Astyanax mexicanus: one gene and its partner. The protein of the gene in region 1 purifies or fractionates together with the protein of each later gene. This does not show direct contact. Links are inferred from orthologs where the notes say so. Each region holds a gene or a part of one and is shown in the gene's direction. Other genes may lie near its edges.

The links.
Region 2: the proteins of grk6 (region 1) and hsp90ab1 purify together in Homo sapiens (affinity purification with mass spectrometry; 3 studies listed by BioGRID and IntAct, with this or other methods). This does not show direct contact. The link is inferred for Astyanax mexicanus from reciprocal best matches to the Homo sapiens genes GRK6 and HSP90AB1.

The regions. Positions count from the first base shown.
Region 1 is NC_064424.1:17,667,226-17,675,753, reverse strand, and holds the start of grk6 (G protein-coupled receptor kinase 6), read left to right. Parts: upstream 1-5,182; 5' UTR 5,183-5,653; coding exon 5,654-5,705; intron 5,706-8,528. Other genes in the region: nop16 (nucleolar protein 16), read right to left, coding at 1,654-1,754.
Region 2 is NC_064408.1:85,810,862-85,818,940, forward strand, and holds the start of hsp90ab1 (heat shock protein HSP 90-beta), read left to right. Parts: upstream 1-4,984; 5' UTR 4,985-5,117; intron 5,118-6,589; coding exon 6,590-6,733; intron 6,734-7,245; coding exon 7,246-7,452; intron 7,453-7,602; coding exon 7,603-7,762; intron 7,763-7,964; coding exon 7,965-8,079. UniProt on the Homo sapiens protein: Molecular chaperone that promotes the maturation, structural maintenance and proper regulation of specific target proteins involved for instance in cell cycle control and signal transduction. Undergoes a functional cycle linked to its ATPase activity.

The DNA.
Region 1 (8,528 bases):
GTGCTGGGGGTTAGTTAGCTGATCTAGGTGTGGGGGTTAGTTAGTTAGGTGGTCTAGGCGCTGGGGTTAGTTAGTTAGCTGGTTTAGGTGTGGGGGTTAGTTAGTTAGGTGGTCTAGGCACTGGGGTTAGTTAGTTAGCTGGTCTAGGTGCGGGGGTTAGTTAGTTAGCTGGTCTAGGCGCGGGGGTTAGTTAGTTAGCTGGTCTAGGCGCGGGGGTTAGTTAGTTAGCTGGTCTAGGCGCGGGGGTTAGTTAGTTAGCTGGTCTAGGCGCGGGGGTTAGTTAGTTAGCTGGTCTAGGCGCGGGGGTTAGTTAGTTAGCTGGTCTAGGCGCTGGGGTTAGTTAGTTAGCTGGTCTAGGCGCTGGGGCTGGTTAGTTAGTTAGTTATATAGCTGGTCTAGGTGCTGGGGTTAGTTAGTTAGCTGGTCTAGGTGCTGGGGTTAGTTAGCTGGTCTAGGTGCGGGGGTTAGTTAGTTAGTTCGGTGGTCTAGGCGCTGGGGTTAGTTAGTTAGTCTAGGCGCTGGGGTTAGTTAGTTAGCTGGTCTAGGCGCTGGGGTTAGTTAGTTAGGTGGTCTAGGTGCAGGGGTTAGTTAGTTAGGTGGTCTAGGTGCAGGGGTTAGTTAGTTAGTCTAGGCGCTGGGGTTAGTTAGTTAGCTGGTCTAGGCGCTGGGGTTAGTTAGTTAGCTGGTCTAGGTGCAGGGGTTAGTTAGTTAGGTGGTCAAGGCGCTGGGGTTAGTTAGTTAGCTGGGGTTAGTTAGCTGGTCTAGGCGCTGGGGTTAGTTAGTTAGCTGGTCTGGGCGCAGGGGCTGGTTAGTTAGTTAGTTATATAGTTGGTCTAGGCGCTGGGGTTAGTTAGCTGGTCTAGGCGCTGGGGTTAGTTAGTTAGCCGGTCTGGGCGCAGGGGCTGGTTAGTTAGTTAGTTATATAGTTGGTCTAGGTGCTGGGGTTAGTTAGTTATATTTGGTCTAGGTGCTGCGGTTAGTTAGTTAGTTATATAGTTGGTCTAGGCGCTGGGGTTAGTTAGCTGGTCTGGGCGCAGGGGCTGGTTAGTTAGTTAGTTAGTTAGTTAGTTAGTTAGTTAGTTATATAGTTGGTCTAGGCGCTGGGGTTAGTTAGTAAGCTGGTCTAGGCGCTGGGGTTAGTTAGTTATCTGGTCTAGGCGCTGGGGTTAGTTATTTATATTTGGCATAGGCGCTGGGGTTAGTTAGTTAGTTAGTTAGCTGGTCTAGGCGCTGGGGTTAGTTATTTATATTTGGCCTAGGTGCTGGGGTTAGTTAGTTAGTTAGCTGGTCTAGGCGCTGGGGTTAGTTAGTTAGTTAGCTGGTCTAGGCGCTGGGGTTAGTTAGTTAGTTAGTTAGCTGGTCTAGGCGCTGGGGTTAGTTATTTATATTTGGCCTAGGTGCTGGGGTTAGTTAGTTAGTTAGCTGGTCTAGGCGCTGGGGTTAGTTAGTTAGTTAGCTGGTCTAGGCGCTGGGGTTAGTTAGTTAGTTAGCTGGTCTAGGCGCTGGGGTTAGTTAGTTAGTTAGCTGGTCTAGGCGCTGAGGTTAGTAGGTTAGCTGGTCTAGACGCTGGGATTAGTTAGTTATATACGTTAGTTAGTTATATTTGGTCTAGGCGCTGGGGTTAGTTAGCTGGGATTAGCGGGCTGAACTCACCATCCGATGGTCGGTCTCTCCTTTTTCTTGAGCTTCTTCTTCTGATTCTTTCGGTTTTTGTTGTAATCGAACGTGTTGCGTTTGCTGGCCCGTTTAACCATCGCTGCGAGTTTTAAACAGCAGATTAATTAAACCCTAAATAAACAGTAACACACTCTCTCACTCTCTCGCACACACGTGTTGTGTTTGGGTGCAGGAGAAGCGGAAACGAGCCTCGGCTTCTTCCCCAGAGCTGAGAGCGGCCAGTCCGACTGAGAGTCGCCCTCTACAGAACAGAACCAAGAATACACGCTATTATAAACAAAAAAATATTTTATTAAGCTTGAGCATTTATACATACAGCTCTGGAAAAAAATATGATATATATGATATATATCTGATTTTCCTATTTATAGGTTTATGTTTGAGTAAAATGAACATTGTTGTTTCACACATACACAACTTTTACACAGAATATTGTCAAACAAGAAGCTATACTTCAAAATATGACATTATCGGGTTTATTATGTAAAGTAACATTCATTATGATAATACAAAATACAATTATACAAAATAAGTTACTAAAGTAAGTTATAAAACACTACAAATTACTATGAATATTTTACTAATACTAAACTCAGACCTTCAGATTATTAATTATTATATTACCAGAATAACATTTTCTCAATGTGATTTTGACAAGTCATACATGTTAGCATTTATTTAGATGGAATCTATTTGTAATAAAAAATAATCTATAATAATTTTTTTACTACTTACATTTTTTTCCAGACACAGATAAATACATAATTTATATAACTTATTTTTTACCTGTAGAAATTAATTCTGACAAATGAAAAATTATTCCAGATATCATAAAATGTTAGATTTTTTTGTATTAGTTAACTATTTTAAATATTTACTCAACTTAACCAGACGGCATTGCAAGCGCAGGAAAAAAACTGTATCAAATGTGCAAAAAAGTACTTTAAAGTGAAAGTCAGGATTTGTCTATATTTGTAAAAATGTATTTATTCATAGCAAATATTTAATAATGTATAATATATTGTTACATGTTAGTGTTTGCATGAAATGTAAATAACTATGCTGCAAAACAAAAAGAACACGTTATATTAATATTGACCCAGAGGTGACTTCTTTGGTATTCTTGGTGTAATTTCATGCTAAGACGGCTTGTCATACACACCCTTCCTGTTTCTCTCAGTTTTCGTTCATGCATATAATCAAGTTTGAAAAAAGAAGAGCCTTTTTTCCGCGGGTGAGATGACTGAAGCGCTTCTTCCACTGTTCCTGTAGATGGCGCTGTTCGTCAAAATAAGGCGGAAATATGTCTGTAGGGAATTTATAGTTTATCCTTGTGTTGGAAAAAAACAACTAAAAATAAATTCTGCACACAGGTTTAAGTTTCTCAATATAATTTTTGATGATCAGCATTTATTTAACATTTTATATTTAATATAAAATGTTAATAAAAACCTCCTCAAAATACAGAGTAGCAGATAAGACAGTTACAGTTTGAATAATTATAACAATAGCATAATAAATACAGTAATTATAAAAACAAAGATGCACAAAAACTGCTAGTACCTTTACAGAGGTGATTGATCATTTGGACATGGAATTTTTGCCACTTTTTAAAATACTGATTAGACTTCCCTATCAGCCTGAAAGAGCGTATTTCATAGCAGGCCACTATATTTACTTATTGTTTAGTACCATTCACTTAAAGTGGGAGTCTGAGATGTCTAGTATGAACATGTTTAAAGAGTTCAGAAATCAATATTTGGTGCAGTAACCCTGTTTTTTTATTTTAGTTTCCATGCATCTTGGCATGTTCTCCTCCACCAGTCTTAAACACTGCTTTTGAATAATTTTATGCCACTCCTGGTGCAGAAATTCAAGCAGTTAAGCTTGGTTTGATGGCTGTGGTCATTCATCTTCCTTTCTGGTAAACCTAAAGGAATAAATTATTTTTAAGTTGTCTCTTTTTTTCCCAGACCTGTATACGTATGAACAAACATGCAAATAAACACAACAAACAATATTGAGTAATAATGATTATTGATTATATCAAATATTATTGAGGTCATGCCCATTTATTGTATGATTATTCAATAATGTAATTATTGTGACAGGCCTATTAACATATGTTTGCAGCAAAAAAACTGAATTAAATTAAATTAAAACTTAAAAAAAGAACTATTTGGTTTGTAGTCTAATTACATGTTTTGCTGTTTTTCTGTACGTTATTCTTGTTCAGTGAGAACAATCTAGTCTGTTTTGGGCTTGAAAAATGTAGTAAAATCCAGTTCCAGTTTCTGAGTTTCTGAGGGCCAGTTATAGAAAGGCAAAGGACCATAGAACATGGCCCATGGACCATAAAATGCCTAGGTCCATCTTTGCATATATACAGTGCCTTTAAAAATATGCATACCTCTTAAACCATTCCACAGTTACACCCACAAACTTAAATGTATTTTACTGGGATTTTATGTGACAGACCAACACAAAGTGGTTGTGAAGTGAAAAGAAAATGATACATAAGGTTTACAATTTTTAATAAATACAAATATGTAAAGTATGGTGTACATTTGTATTCAGACCCAGCAGCTTCTGTCACAGCTAAACAAAACAGCATCCCCACAGCATGATGCTGCCACCACCATGTTTCATGGTGGGGATGGTGTGTGTTCAGGGTGTTCAGGGTGCGGTGTTGGTTTTCCGCCGCCCATAGCGCTTTGCATTTAGGCCAAAAGTTCAACATCTGATCTGATCACGTTCTTCCACATATTTGCTGTACCGCCTACATGACTTGAGGCAAATTGTAAACGATACTATTTGTGGCTTTCTTTCCCATAAAAATCAGATTTGTGGAGTACATGACTTCTCCCATCAGAAAACCTTGATCTCTGCAGCATCGCAAGAGTGACCATGGGTATCTTGGCTGCTTATCAAATTAGAGCTCTCCTTACCTGGGCTGTCAGATTAGGCTACATTCACATTACCATGCTCAAATCTGATTTTTTGCTCAATGTGGCTCAGATCTGATTTTTTCATGGCTGTGTGAACCTGCCAAATCTGTTTTTTTTTTTTACAATTAAATTCGAGTAACATTCATATGTGGTCCTAAATCGGTTACGTGTCTGATCCACGTACATGCCACATGAACGGTCAAATCGGTATTCGTTCATCTTTTTGCTGAATTTGCCTTGTAATGTAAACGTATAGCCATATCCTTAGATGGATAGACATGTCAATGTCTGCATTTGTGCCATACTCCTTCCATTTTAAAATGTTGTTCAAGGTACAGGAGGCTGAATATACATGCATGCCACCTTTTTCAGATTTTTCTTTGTTAATGAAAACTATGTACAATTTGTTCACTTTACATGTACGTTACATTTTCAAGTGTACTGTGTATATCCTATATATCTGTTTGTATGTACTCTAGTTACTAGCTATTAGGTTATGTGTGTGTGTGCGTGTGTCTACAGTACAGCAGCAGCACTCTGCGCAGGAAAATGAGGAAATAGCGAGTCCGGCGCAACTGAGCTGTTGACAGGAGAGCGAGTGACAGGAGAGAGAGAGAGGTAGACTGGGAGAGAGAGAGAGAGAGAGAGATAGAGAGAGAGGTAGAGTAAAAATAAAGAAAGAAAAGGAAAAAAGAGAAAGAACTGCTGCTGCTGCCGCTGTCGTGTTCACGTGTAGGTGGGGTTCACTGGTAAACAAGCCGGTAGAGGAACCGACGAAGCGCTTTTGGGGCGGAGAGTCGGAGAGCGAAAGAGAGAGAGAGAGAGAGAGAGAGAGAGAGAGAGAGAGAGAGAGAGAGGGGAGAGGGAGAGAGAGATAGAAAGAGAAAGAGAGAGAGAGAGAACGAGAGAAAGAGAGAGAGAGTCATCCAAGGTTCGCCTGCTCCGCCGAGGGGGGGAGTGGGGGAGGACACACTCACTCACTGCCAACCCAGGCGGGCGACGAGGTTGGGCCTGCAGCCCAGGAAAACATGGAGCTCGAGAATATCGTGGCCAACACCGTTCTCCTGAAGGCGAGGGAAGGTAAGCGGAGCGCTTCACACTCACAGCGGCTTCCCTGCTCCTCCAGGAAAGGGCTCATCTTCGCTCGGATCGCGGGAGGAGGAGGCGGCGGAGGAGGAGGAGGAGGAGGAGAAGGAAGAGGAGGAGGAGGAGGAGGAGAGGGGGGATTCCCCGAGGAAGCAAGGGAGCAAGCAAGCAAGCCTACAGACAGAAAGATAGGTTAGATAGATAGATAGCTAAGGGCTCCAGGAGACCATAAATTCATACATCCACCTGTTCTCCTTTTTTATGATAGACGCAAAAAAAGAAAAGAAAGGCCACAGAGACAGAGATAGCCTGTGCTGTTTTTTGGTAGCTTGGCTGGCGGAACTGCTGCTTCTGCTCCTGCCTAGTTAGGTTAGCTAACCTTGAACATGACCAAGCTCGCCTAGCTGTAAAGATGGACCTGTCAGAGGAGCAGCAGTCACCGCGGCAGTCACCCACCATTCAGCTGTCATTTAGCCAGCTAGCTAGCTAGATAGGTTAGATTGGTAGGTTAGCTAGTTAGCTTAGCTAACTAAAAGCCACCCAAACAGCCTCAGCTTTTGCCAGAATGGGCAGAAAATGTGTGTGTGTGTGTGTGTGTGTGCGTGTGCAGGATCGTGATTTAGTGGGTCGTGGCCAGAACAGCACAGCAGCGCAGGAAGGGAGCGAGCAGATGTTGGTTGGTGCTGAGATAACAGACATAAGGTGATGGTGGTGATTGTGTCAGAGCTAGCTAGCTAACCTAGCGTTAACGAGCTAGCTAACGTAGCTTCAGAGTGGGACAAGGGCCAGGCAGCAGCTGCTTTGGAGGAGATAATACAGTTTATTATAAAACCTAAAGTTAGCTAAATAGCAGCTATTTAGCAGGTGGATAGCAAGCTAGTTAACTAGTTATCTAGACACAGAGTTGGGAAAGGGCCAGGTAACAGCTGCTTTGGAGTAGATAATACGGTTGTCATGGAACCTAAAGCTAGCTAAGCTAACTAAGCTAGATAACCAGCTATTCAGCAGGTGGATAGCAAGCTAGCTAGTTAGCTAACTAGCTAACCAGCTATTCAGCAGGTGAATGGCAAGCTAGTTAATTAGGTAGCAAACTAGATACAGAATTGGAAAAGAACCAGGTAACAGCTGCTTTGGAGGAGATAATTCAGTTGTCATGTAACTTAACCTAAAGCTAGCTAAGCTAACCAGCTATTCAGCAGGTGCATATCAAGCTAGTTAACTAGTCAGCTAGTCACAGAGTGGGAAAAGGGCCAGACAACAGCTGCTTTGGAGGAGATAATTCGTTTGTCATGTAACATAAAGCTATCTAAGCTAACTAGCTATCCAGCAGCTATTCAGCAGGTGGATAGCAAGCTAGTTAACTAAAGTTAGTTAGGTAGATACAGAGTAGGGAAAGGGCCAGCCAACAGTTGCTTTTGAGCAGATATTACGGTTGTCATGTAACCTAAAGCTAGCTGTGCTAGTTAACTTGCTATCTAACCACCTGTTCAGAAGCTGGATAGCTAGCTATTTAACTAGTTAGCTAGACACAGAGTGGGGAAAGGGCCAGGCAGCGGCTTTGGTGGAGACTGCTAGCTAACCTAGCTAGTTAACTAGCTATGCTATCTAGGTTAGCTAGCTTGGGTAACTTCTCTGGATGTTAGGCTAGCTAGCTAAATAGTTAGGGTTAGTTAGCTACATTTTCCTGTAACCTGGGCGAATACGTGTGTTTTCACCTGCTTACGCTAACTAGCACGTGCCCATTTTTTGTTCCCTCTAACAGGGTTGTTAATAGAAATGTTAACCCAGCTAGTTTTAACAGTTAGCTATTTAACGTTAGTTGGGGTTTGGCTGGTGGTGTAGGCTTGGGTAAAGTAGCTTAAGAGGATGTAAAATAGCCCAAAAGTCTCATGATGAGACTGGTTCGACTTAAGCTAGTTTCTTCTTTTTTGAGGTTTAAACTAGCCCAGCTACCAGTGATGTGACCGGTTAGCTAAATTAGTTTCCTTTGTCTGCTTTCATTAAAAGTTAATTAATCTTTTAGTTAACCCTGTTAACCTAACTAGCTAATGGACTGATGCTGCTTTATAGTCGTTAGTTAGCTAGCTAGTTTAAGTACTAGTTGGCTAACTTGGGTAATGCTGGCTGGTTAGTCATGGAGACACAAGCACACATTTCCTGTCTTTTTTTTTTTTTTTTTTTTTTTACAAAATATGTCTCTCTCTCTGTGTTCTCCCATTATCTGCTTTCATCACATCCTCTTTCTTAACCCGCATTCGTTGCGAGAGTATATTTCACACTAGCCGAGGTTTGGGCTGTTCAGCTGCTTTTGACAACTCAGCTCTCAAGCTCAGTCTTAAGAAGTCAAGCCAGTTGAAGAAGTGCAGGTCACCACCAGCAATTTCTGTGAATTTCAGTTGAAATGGCTGTTAAGTGATATTTCCTAGGTACAAAGATGCTTAAAAGCCTTCAGCAAGAATAGACTGTTTCTGCATCATTGTAATCTAAAGCCTTTTTATCTACTGGTGGTGCGACAAATAGTGGACATAAATGTCCTTAAATTGACATGAAAATGTGTCGGCTCCAAATTTCATTGTTGATTAATTGTTAATTAATCAAAACGTTGTTGGTCATTAGGCTGGAAATAATTACAAAACCATATCTGAAGTTCTTGGACTCTTTGCATTGTTTGCAAATGGAGTAAATTCTTTATTCATTATTACCCTCCAAAGACGTGGTCCGTCAACAAAGAGCAAGGCTTGTAATAGTCTGTGAGGTCACAAAAAGACCCAAGGCAACCTCTAAGCAACTCTAAGTCTTTCTCAAGCTGTACGCTAG
Region 2 (8,079 bases), on another chromosome or scaffold:
TGGTGTGGCCAAAATATCAACAGCTTACTGTTCGATGTGAATGTTTAGTTGTGTTGTTAACTAAACATTCATAGATTGCTAAACTTCAATTCTGGTCCCTTAATGCCTCAGAATCCTGTTTCAGTAGGTGGCATTTCTTACAATTCAGACACAATCTCCATCTTGGAGAGAGGCAGTGACAGAGAGAGAGAGAAAGAAATGAACTAAATGTGAGCTAGAAGTGTAATTATTTACAGTAGGTAGCTGGGGAGAGGAATAATGTATGGGGGCTGGGTGAGCACTCCAACTGACAATCCTCAACAGGGCTGTTTTGGACAGGGTGCTTATCGTTGATGTCACCTCATGTCACCTTTAAACAGTTCCAGAGGCATATGGGTAGTATGTGTATGACTACTGTGTGTGTCTCACACATAAACAAGCACAATTTATTAATTTTCACAAGGGCACTGCTCAAAGAGCAAAAGTGTGTGATGTATTTATAATTTGTTCTTTTAGCTTCCATGCATGACCAGAGTCAATCTACAATCTACAGCATTTGTGTTCCAGATTAATGAACAGCAGTCATATTTGCCCATTTGTGTTGCAAGAGTAAATTAGGTGAGGTAGAAAGGATGTATTTTAAGGCAGCTGCTTTTGGCTATTACGAAGCAATAAATGTTTCTCATGGTGTACCTAAGAGAGTACTGCATATGTGCTAGTGTGCATCATATGCTATGCGTTCAATTTCTGGAGCTTCACGCAGGTCTAATTACTGTCACACCTGTTCTCAATCAAGCACTTTACCTTTATGCCTGTGAGGCTATAGTGAAAAACCCCTGCATGTAAAAAACAAGTTCACTTTATGAACATGCTAGTTCAAGACCACACCCACACAATGCAATCATTTTAGAGTATGAAATAATTAATAGCATTAATAAATAGTTGATCAAAGTGCTCAAGTTGTCTGCAGATTAAAAAACCCACAGCATTTAACCCTGAACAAATCAGTCACTGAAATTAGTCAGAAAAAATATGTTATACATTTCAATAATAATCCTTATATTTACCACTGTACTGTATTTTATAAATAGAGTTTAAAATGTATGTAAAATTATAAGGTAAACAAGATTAATTAAACAAGTAAACATAACGTGTTGTTTGAATGAAAGTTTTTATCAATAAAACATAACTTAACTGTGGTTTATTACATCTGTGTTCAATTTCTAAAGCTTCACCCAGGTCTAATTACTGTCACACCTGTTTTCAATCAAGAAATCACTTAAATAAGACCTGCCTGACAAAGCCAAGAAGACCAATAGATACTCAAAAGTTTAGAGATTTCATACCTCAAACTGCTGGCCTCATTTGCCTCAGTTAAGGTCAGCGTTCATAACTTCACCATAAAAAAGGAAAAAATGACCTGCATGGCAAAGTGCCAAGACAAAAATGACTGCTGAGCAAAAAGAACATTAATGCTCATCTTAAATTTGCAAGAGAATTTGGCGTAAAAGTAACACAGCATAAGAAAAAAATCATACCTACAGTGAAACATGGTGGTGGTAGTTTGGGGCTTTTTTGCTGCTTCAGGTCCTGGAAGTTTTGCTGTGATAAATGGAACCAAGAATTCTGCCATCTAACAAAAATCCTGAAGGAGATGTCTGGCCTTCAGTTTTTCTCCCTTATTATTAAAAACATTAACGTTTTTCAAAAACTGCATTTTGTGTTTACTTGTTTTTTGTTGGGTAATATTTAAATTAGTTTTATGATCTGAAACATTTAAAAGTGACAAACATGCACAAAATTAAAAATATGAGGGAAGCAAACACTTTTTTCACACCACTGCATTTATCTGACCCCTTGCTATGTACCAAGTATTTCTCAGCTTGCATTGTTTACAGAAACCAACAGTCAACATGCAAATCTAGGCATTTGGACCGCTCTTTCAATGTATTATTGTATTGTTTACAGCTGTGGTGCAGTTTTATAATGACTATTAGAATCATTATACTATACATTATACTATTATACTAGAGTTTAATTTGCAATAATTTTCTTCAAAATAAAAGTTGCCTTTTTAAATCAAATAACGTATAAATAAACAACAGATATGTGTATTTTAACGCATTAGAGATATAAATAATTTATTTAATTTTGACCTCATCTTATATTATCTCACAGGAAAATGCGTATTGTTGTTCCCCTCTGTGAGACAATATATTAATACACATAAAAATATTAAAATAAAATATTGTGTGATTTTGAAGCATTAATTCGTTTTTTTGGTGTCACTTGAATATTTATGAGATGATGAGGTCCAAGTTCAGGTAGGGAACTCTTTTATAACTAGGCGTTATTTTATTAGGAGTTTATTTTCCTCCTCGGTGAGGAACTTTTAAGTCGGTAAATCTGGAAGTTGCGCCGGAGAGACGCGTGTTCCTGACGGCTGCGTGACGTCACTTTTAGGCGGGTTTTTCATGGAAAGTGCTAGAAAGAGCCGAAGCACCGCCGCCTCGGAGCGCTGATATCCCTCCGTGACAAAAACGAGTGCAGCGGATCCTTCGCTTCTTTTGTGCGTTTAATCGTTTCTTGCGTGCCACCCCTTAGTTATTTAGTATTAAATAAGACAATACAAGAATATTACTTCCAAAAATATATATTATTACTATTCGTTCAGTCTAACCACTCATATTATTTAGCCTAGGTGAATCTCATGCTGTACAGAGTGGGGTATATTTAATTTACTGCAGATCTTATATAATTTATAGTATTGTAATCATAAATCGATAATGTGTGGATAATAGCTGCTCTTTATATGTTATTTATAAATATTAAAGTAGACATTTCCATGCATCTTAACACAGGGTTATCAATGCTTTATTATTATTATTATGTTATATGAAAATTATTTTTTTTAAACAGTCCTACGTATGGACACTAATATAGTAGTACTAAAATAGTAGCTGACACATTATAAGATAACTTCTGACCTGAAGTAAAGATGCAGGAATAAATAAGTAAATTAAAAAAGTTGGCAATTATGTTGCACATCCAATGAGAGCTGTTATACCATTAAGATCCCCTCTTATGGTTTAGGGAGTGGACCAAACCATACCCAGGGTGGCGAAGGTTAAGGGAGGGGAAATCTATTTTTTTTTTGTTAGAGCCAAAAAAAAAATAGTAACTGTGTGTCCCAGTATCCACAATAGATATGAATTTAAAAGGAAAGCAACCAGCAGGCCTGTTTAGGAACGTTGCAAGAAACAACCCTGGTTGGTTGGAAAGGACTGACCATGATTTCAGAACCATATCAGACAGATGTTTAGATGTGTGTTATGTATGATATATAATTGTGCTTATTTATTATTTATTTATATTTAAGTCCAGTCCAAGTGGAGAATGTTTGGGTGGCACTGGTCTGCTGCAATAAAATATAGCTAATAATAGAATATTATTCATATAATGTCTGGCATGCTCTCTATTAGGATTAGCCCTCTTAATGTCAATTTCTCAACAGTAAATTACACTTTTTGTATTAGTATTGAATACATGAAAAACTGCTTCTGAGAAAGAGGACACTAACTAACTATTTATGTTATATTAACTAAAAGAACCTGTACAGGCTAACACAATTTGGAAAATTGTGTTTCTCTGGCTGTAGCATCACAGGGGATCAACCAACAATCTCCTGTTGACAGGTCCAATGTGTAGATGGCTGCAATTGGGAGCTTGAACCTTATATAAAGACCAAATAGGCTGATGTGTCTGTGTGTAAGGCAAAACTCAAAGACAGAGATATGGTATTTTTAATGTTATAGAAATTATTGTTTAATATTACATAAGCATGACAAACATTTTATGTTTGAACAACTTTTATTTTGTAATACTGGAGAACTGCCTATATGGGTGTATAAAAGTATTAATGTTTACTTGTGTTCAGGTGGCACAGTGTGGCTGAGAACATAGTGTCTGTATGGCGGGTATCATGGACCCTGTCGTTGTGGGTTCAAACCTTTTAAAGGTAAACAGCAAAACTGACAGAGTTGCTGCTCACCTCCAAAACATCATAGGTGAACTGGGTATGCCAAATCATGAACGAAAGTGTGTGGTACTGGCCTGCGGTCCAGATGACCCTGACCAGAAACAAGGGAATGAGAAAACAGGAAGGCACCCTGAATGTCTGAAATTAAGTATGGCATCATTACCATCTTCAGGTGTAGTTTGTTGGGTGAAAAATGCTAATAAATAACACTATTGCAACTTAAGGAACTAGCTGTTGACATAAGGCAGTAAGACATCAAGGCAGGGGCATAACCTCCGACCCATTAAAAAGGCACGATTTTAAAACAGCTTAGATTTAGATTTTTACCATTTTTTTAGCAGTTTTCCGAACCTGGATTAAACCTAGTCTTGGACTACACAGCATTTTGAATAGAGATTCTACACTGAAAGGAACATATTGTCAAAGACTAGGCTGGGAAACTTTATTGTATAGCAAAGCCAAGCTAGTTGACATGCACGGCCAGCATAGGATTTTACCTGATTCAACCATATTGACTAACTGAAACCAGCTTCCAGCTAAAACGCAGCTTTTGTAAATGTGTCATTATGATTGGGAAATAAACTGAAATGATGCAAAGCTAGTACACAGGCTAATATCCCAAAACATTCAATTTTATTAAGGAAATACAGTCAAACAATTCAAAACATTTGACTGACACTTCACACATATAAATTTGCAGTTAAATGTGAATAAGATATTAATATATAAACTACAAATATACAGTTGTTTACATTACTATAACAGGCAAGTGGATAATCTGAATTAAAAAATTAATGTGTGCGATTATAACAGCACATTTATTTTTCAACAGAACGTTTATTTATTCAGAATGTATACTATAACAATAAACATGTCTATTCTAATGTCTATTAACATCATCATTAGAAAGGTTAACTTTGCCCAGTGCAAACAGAACACAGTGTAGACCCAGCGTAGACCCAGCCCAGCCCGCGGAGTGATACGCCGCATGTTCGACGGTTACATAAAGATACGCTGCTGCGGCGCAGCATCACTGTTGGAGGAGATCTGAAGGGTTTGGCAGCATTTATTTCAAGAGAAATCACCGAAACTAATCAAGGTGAGTTCTCCCGTTCACACGACGCGGTTGAGTCTCGTGTTCTCTTCTTTAAAACGATAAACCCGGCAGTGTTGCGGCCTCATTGTGTTTATTTAGACAGATGAACGGCTGTGGAGGAGAGCCGCTAACAAAGACTCGGAGCAGCGTTAACTGAAACTACAGACCGGCGGAGCTCAGCGTTTCAGCTCCGCTCACCGGCCAAAAACACTTAAACTCGCTTAGTTTATCGTGATTCTGGTGAGACACGACCTCTGACAGGTTTATTTGGGTGTTTATTTTAGTAAATTAGTTAGTGAGTTGGGATTCGTCGTGATGAGCTGTGGTTACCCGTTCTTTCAGCAGGTGCAGCGCTCGGGCCGGGGGAGTTAAGCTAGCGCTAGTTAACGGTGGATTTAGCTGACGGGTGGAAGGTTACTGTTTCTATAGTCGTGATGAGGCTTCAGTAATACAGCTTGGTTAGCTAGCTAGCTAACCTAGTTAACTATTACTTCTGTTATATAATGGCGTTCACTAATGTAGGTGAAATAATAGGCCCCTGAACATTAACCGTAACTCTAATTATATGAGCCGTACAGCGTTAGCTTCTCTATCTGCTAGTTAACGCTAAGCTAACTAGCGTTAACTTAATTTCAGGCCAACCAGCCTAAACACGCGCTAGCTAACTAGCTAACTGACGATTTAGCTAACCCAGCTTAGCCAATCTAATCAATAAGCTAATGAAGTTACATGGAACGCTAAAATGCCAATTTTCAGCCACAAAACACCAATAAATTCTGTTTTAAATCCGCGTGTAAGATCTGAACGTTAGCTAAAAGCCATGTGCTCCGGCTTGAAGGACCGGTTTCTCCATTCGTGTCTAATGTAACTTACACTTTAATCACACTTTAAATCGTGTAAACTCACTAAGTTAACTGTCTAATGGCCGTATTTTTAGTTTAAATTAACGTGATCTCTCCTAGTAAAAGCCAGAACATAAATATAAAACTCGGAGTTTTCCGGCTCTCGGCTTTCTTCGTCAAGCACGTGTCTCCTCCATTGTACGCTGGTCCGGTTACGCCATGTTGGGTAATTGAATGGGGGCGGTCAAGAGCAACTTCAGTTCAGGCTTTAGACGAGTTCAGAGTTTTTATCGAAGCAGTTCCAAACAAAAAAAATCCATTTAGGAGTAAATAGTTTTCTAATCCATACTCCATAACGGTATTTATGACGTTAAATACGTAAGTTTTAAAATTAGTCTATGATTCTAACAAAAGTTCTGTTCAGTGATAGTCTGTCACTTACACTGTTATAATCCTCTAAATCTTAAAAGAATTCGGTAGGGTTTTTTCCCCACAGACTACAGTTAGAAAAAAGATCTTCCAAGTTAATACCCCGAGTCACTTGGAGCTGTTCGCTATGCGGAAACTGAACTGAAACAGAAAGTGAGGAATATCTTTAAGGTGGTGTGACTCAGTGTTATTTCTCTTCTCCAGATGCCTGAAGAAATGCGCCAAGAGGAGGAGGCTGAGACCTTTGCCTTCCAGGCAGAGATCGCTCAGCTGATGTCCCTCATCATTAACACCTTCTATTCCAACAAAGAGATCTTCCTCAGGGAGCTTATTTCCAACGCCTCTGATGTAAGTGCTAGTGTTGATTTAATATTTTTTATTTATTTGATTTATTTATTAAAGCAAGTTGAATTTAATAGAACACTGAAAACAATAGGTGGATTCTGTGAAGTTTGTACATACAGAATTTAAAATTTATTTTTAATTTACTTTAGCGCTTTATAAAATGCACAAAAAAATAATGCATAATGCAGCTATATTTATAAAATAGTTATGCTATATGTTAACACCAGTGGCCAGATTTTTATTATTGTCAAGGCTAGGGAATTGCAATTTTATACAGAATTATTCATAATCAGTTGGTGTATATTACGAAGAAAAATGTTTTACTATATAAGCTTGTACCATAATATATTCAGTAAGTGTAATGTTAGTCATCGAGTACTGTAATACTTTGGCTGCAGAAAATATTTCTAACAGATATTAATGCTAAGGTTGAGTGTTTGTTGATGGAAGCTAAACATTTTAGATTTTTTACATTTAAAAAAAAAAAAAAAATCACCTCTCCCTCTTCCTTATAGGCCCTTGACAAAATCCGATATGAAAGTCTGACTGATCCATCTAAACTAGACAGTGGGAAGGACCTGAAGATTGACATCATTCCCAACAAGCTTGAGCGCACGCTGACCCTTGTGGACACTGGAATTGGTATGACTAAGGCTGATCTCATCAATAACTTGGGTACCATTGCCAAGTCAGGGACCAAAGCCTTCATGGAAGCTCTTCAGGTAAACAAATGAGGTGTTCTAAATGAAATCCATTAGTTTTTGCTGTATATTAAGTATGTTGCCTACAAATGGTTTAATCAAATCACATTTACCTAGATTAAAACTTTAGTTTGACTGCATATATATTCATTTTTTCCCCCTTTGTTTCAGGCTGGTGCAGATATCTCCATGATTGGACAGTTTGGTGTGGGCTTCTACTCTGCTTACCTGGTTGCTGAGAAGGTGGTAGTGATTACCAAGCACAATGATGATGAGCAGTATGCCTGGGAGTCCTCTGCTGGTGGCTCTTTCACAGTCAAAGTTGATAATGGTAAGTTTTGGAAACTTGCCTAAATTACTCCTTGATTATTTGGATGAAGGGGGGGGGGGTGAATTTTTGTTAATGGCATCCAAGCAAAATACAGTAAACTGTAAAGAACAGCAAGCAAATTACATTGAGACTTTAAAAATAACTGTATTTTGCTTAACCTTAGTATGTGCATGTGTATCTTACCCCCGTGTTTTGTTTACAGGTGAGCCCATTGGTCGTGGAACTAAGGTCATCCTTCACCTCAAGGAAGATCAGACTGAATACATCGAAGACAAGCGCGTGAAGGAGGTTGTCAAGAAGCACTCTCAGTTCATTGG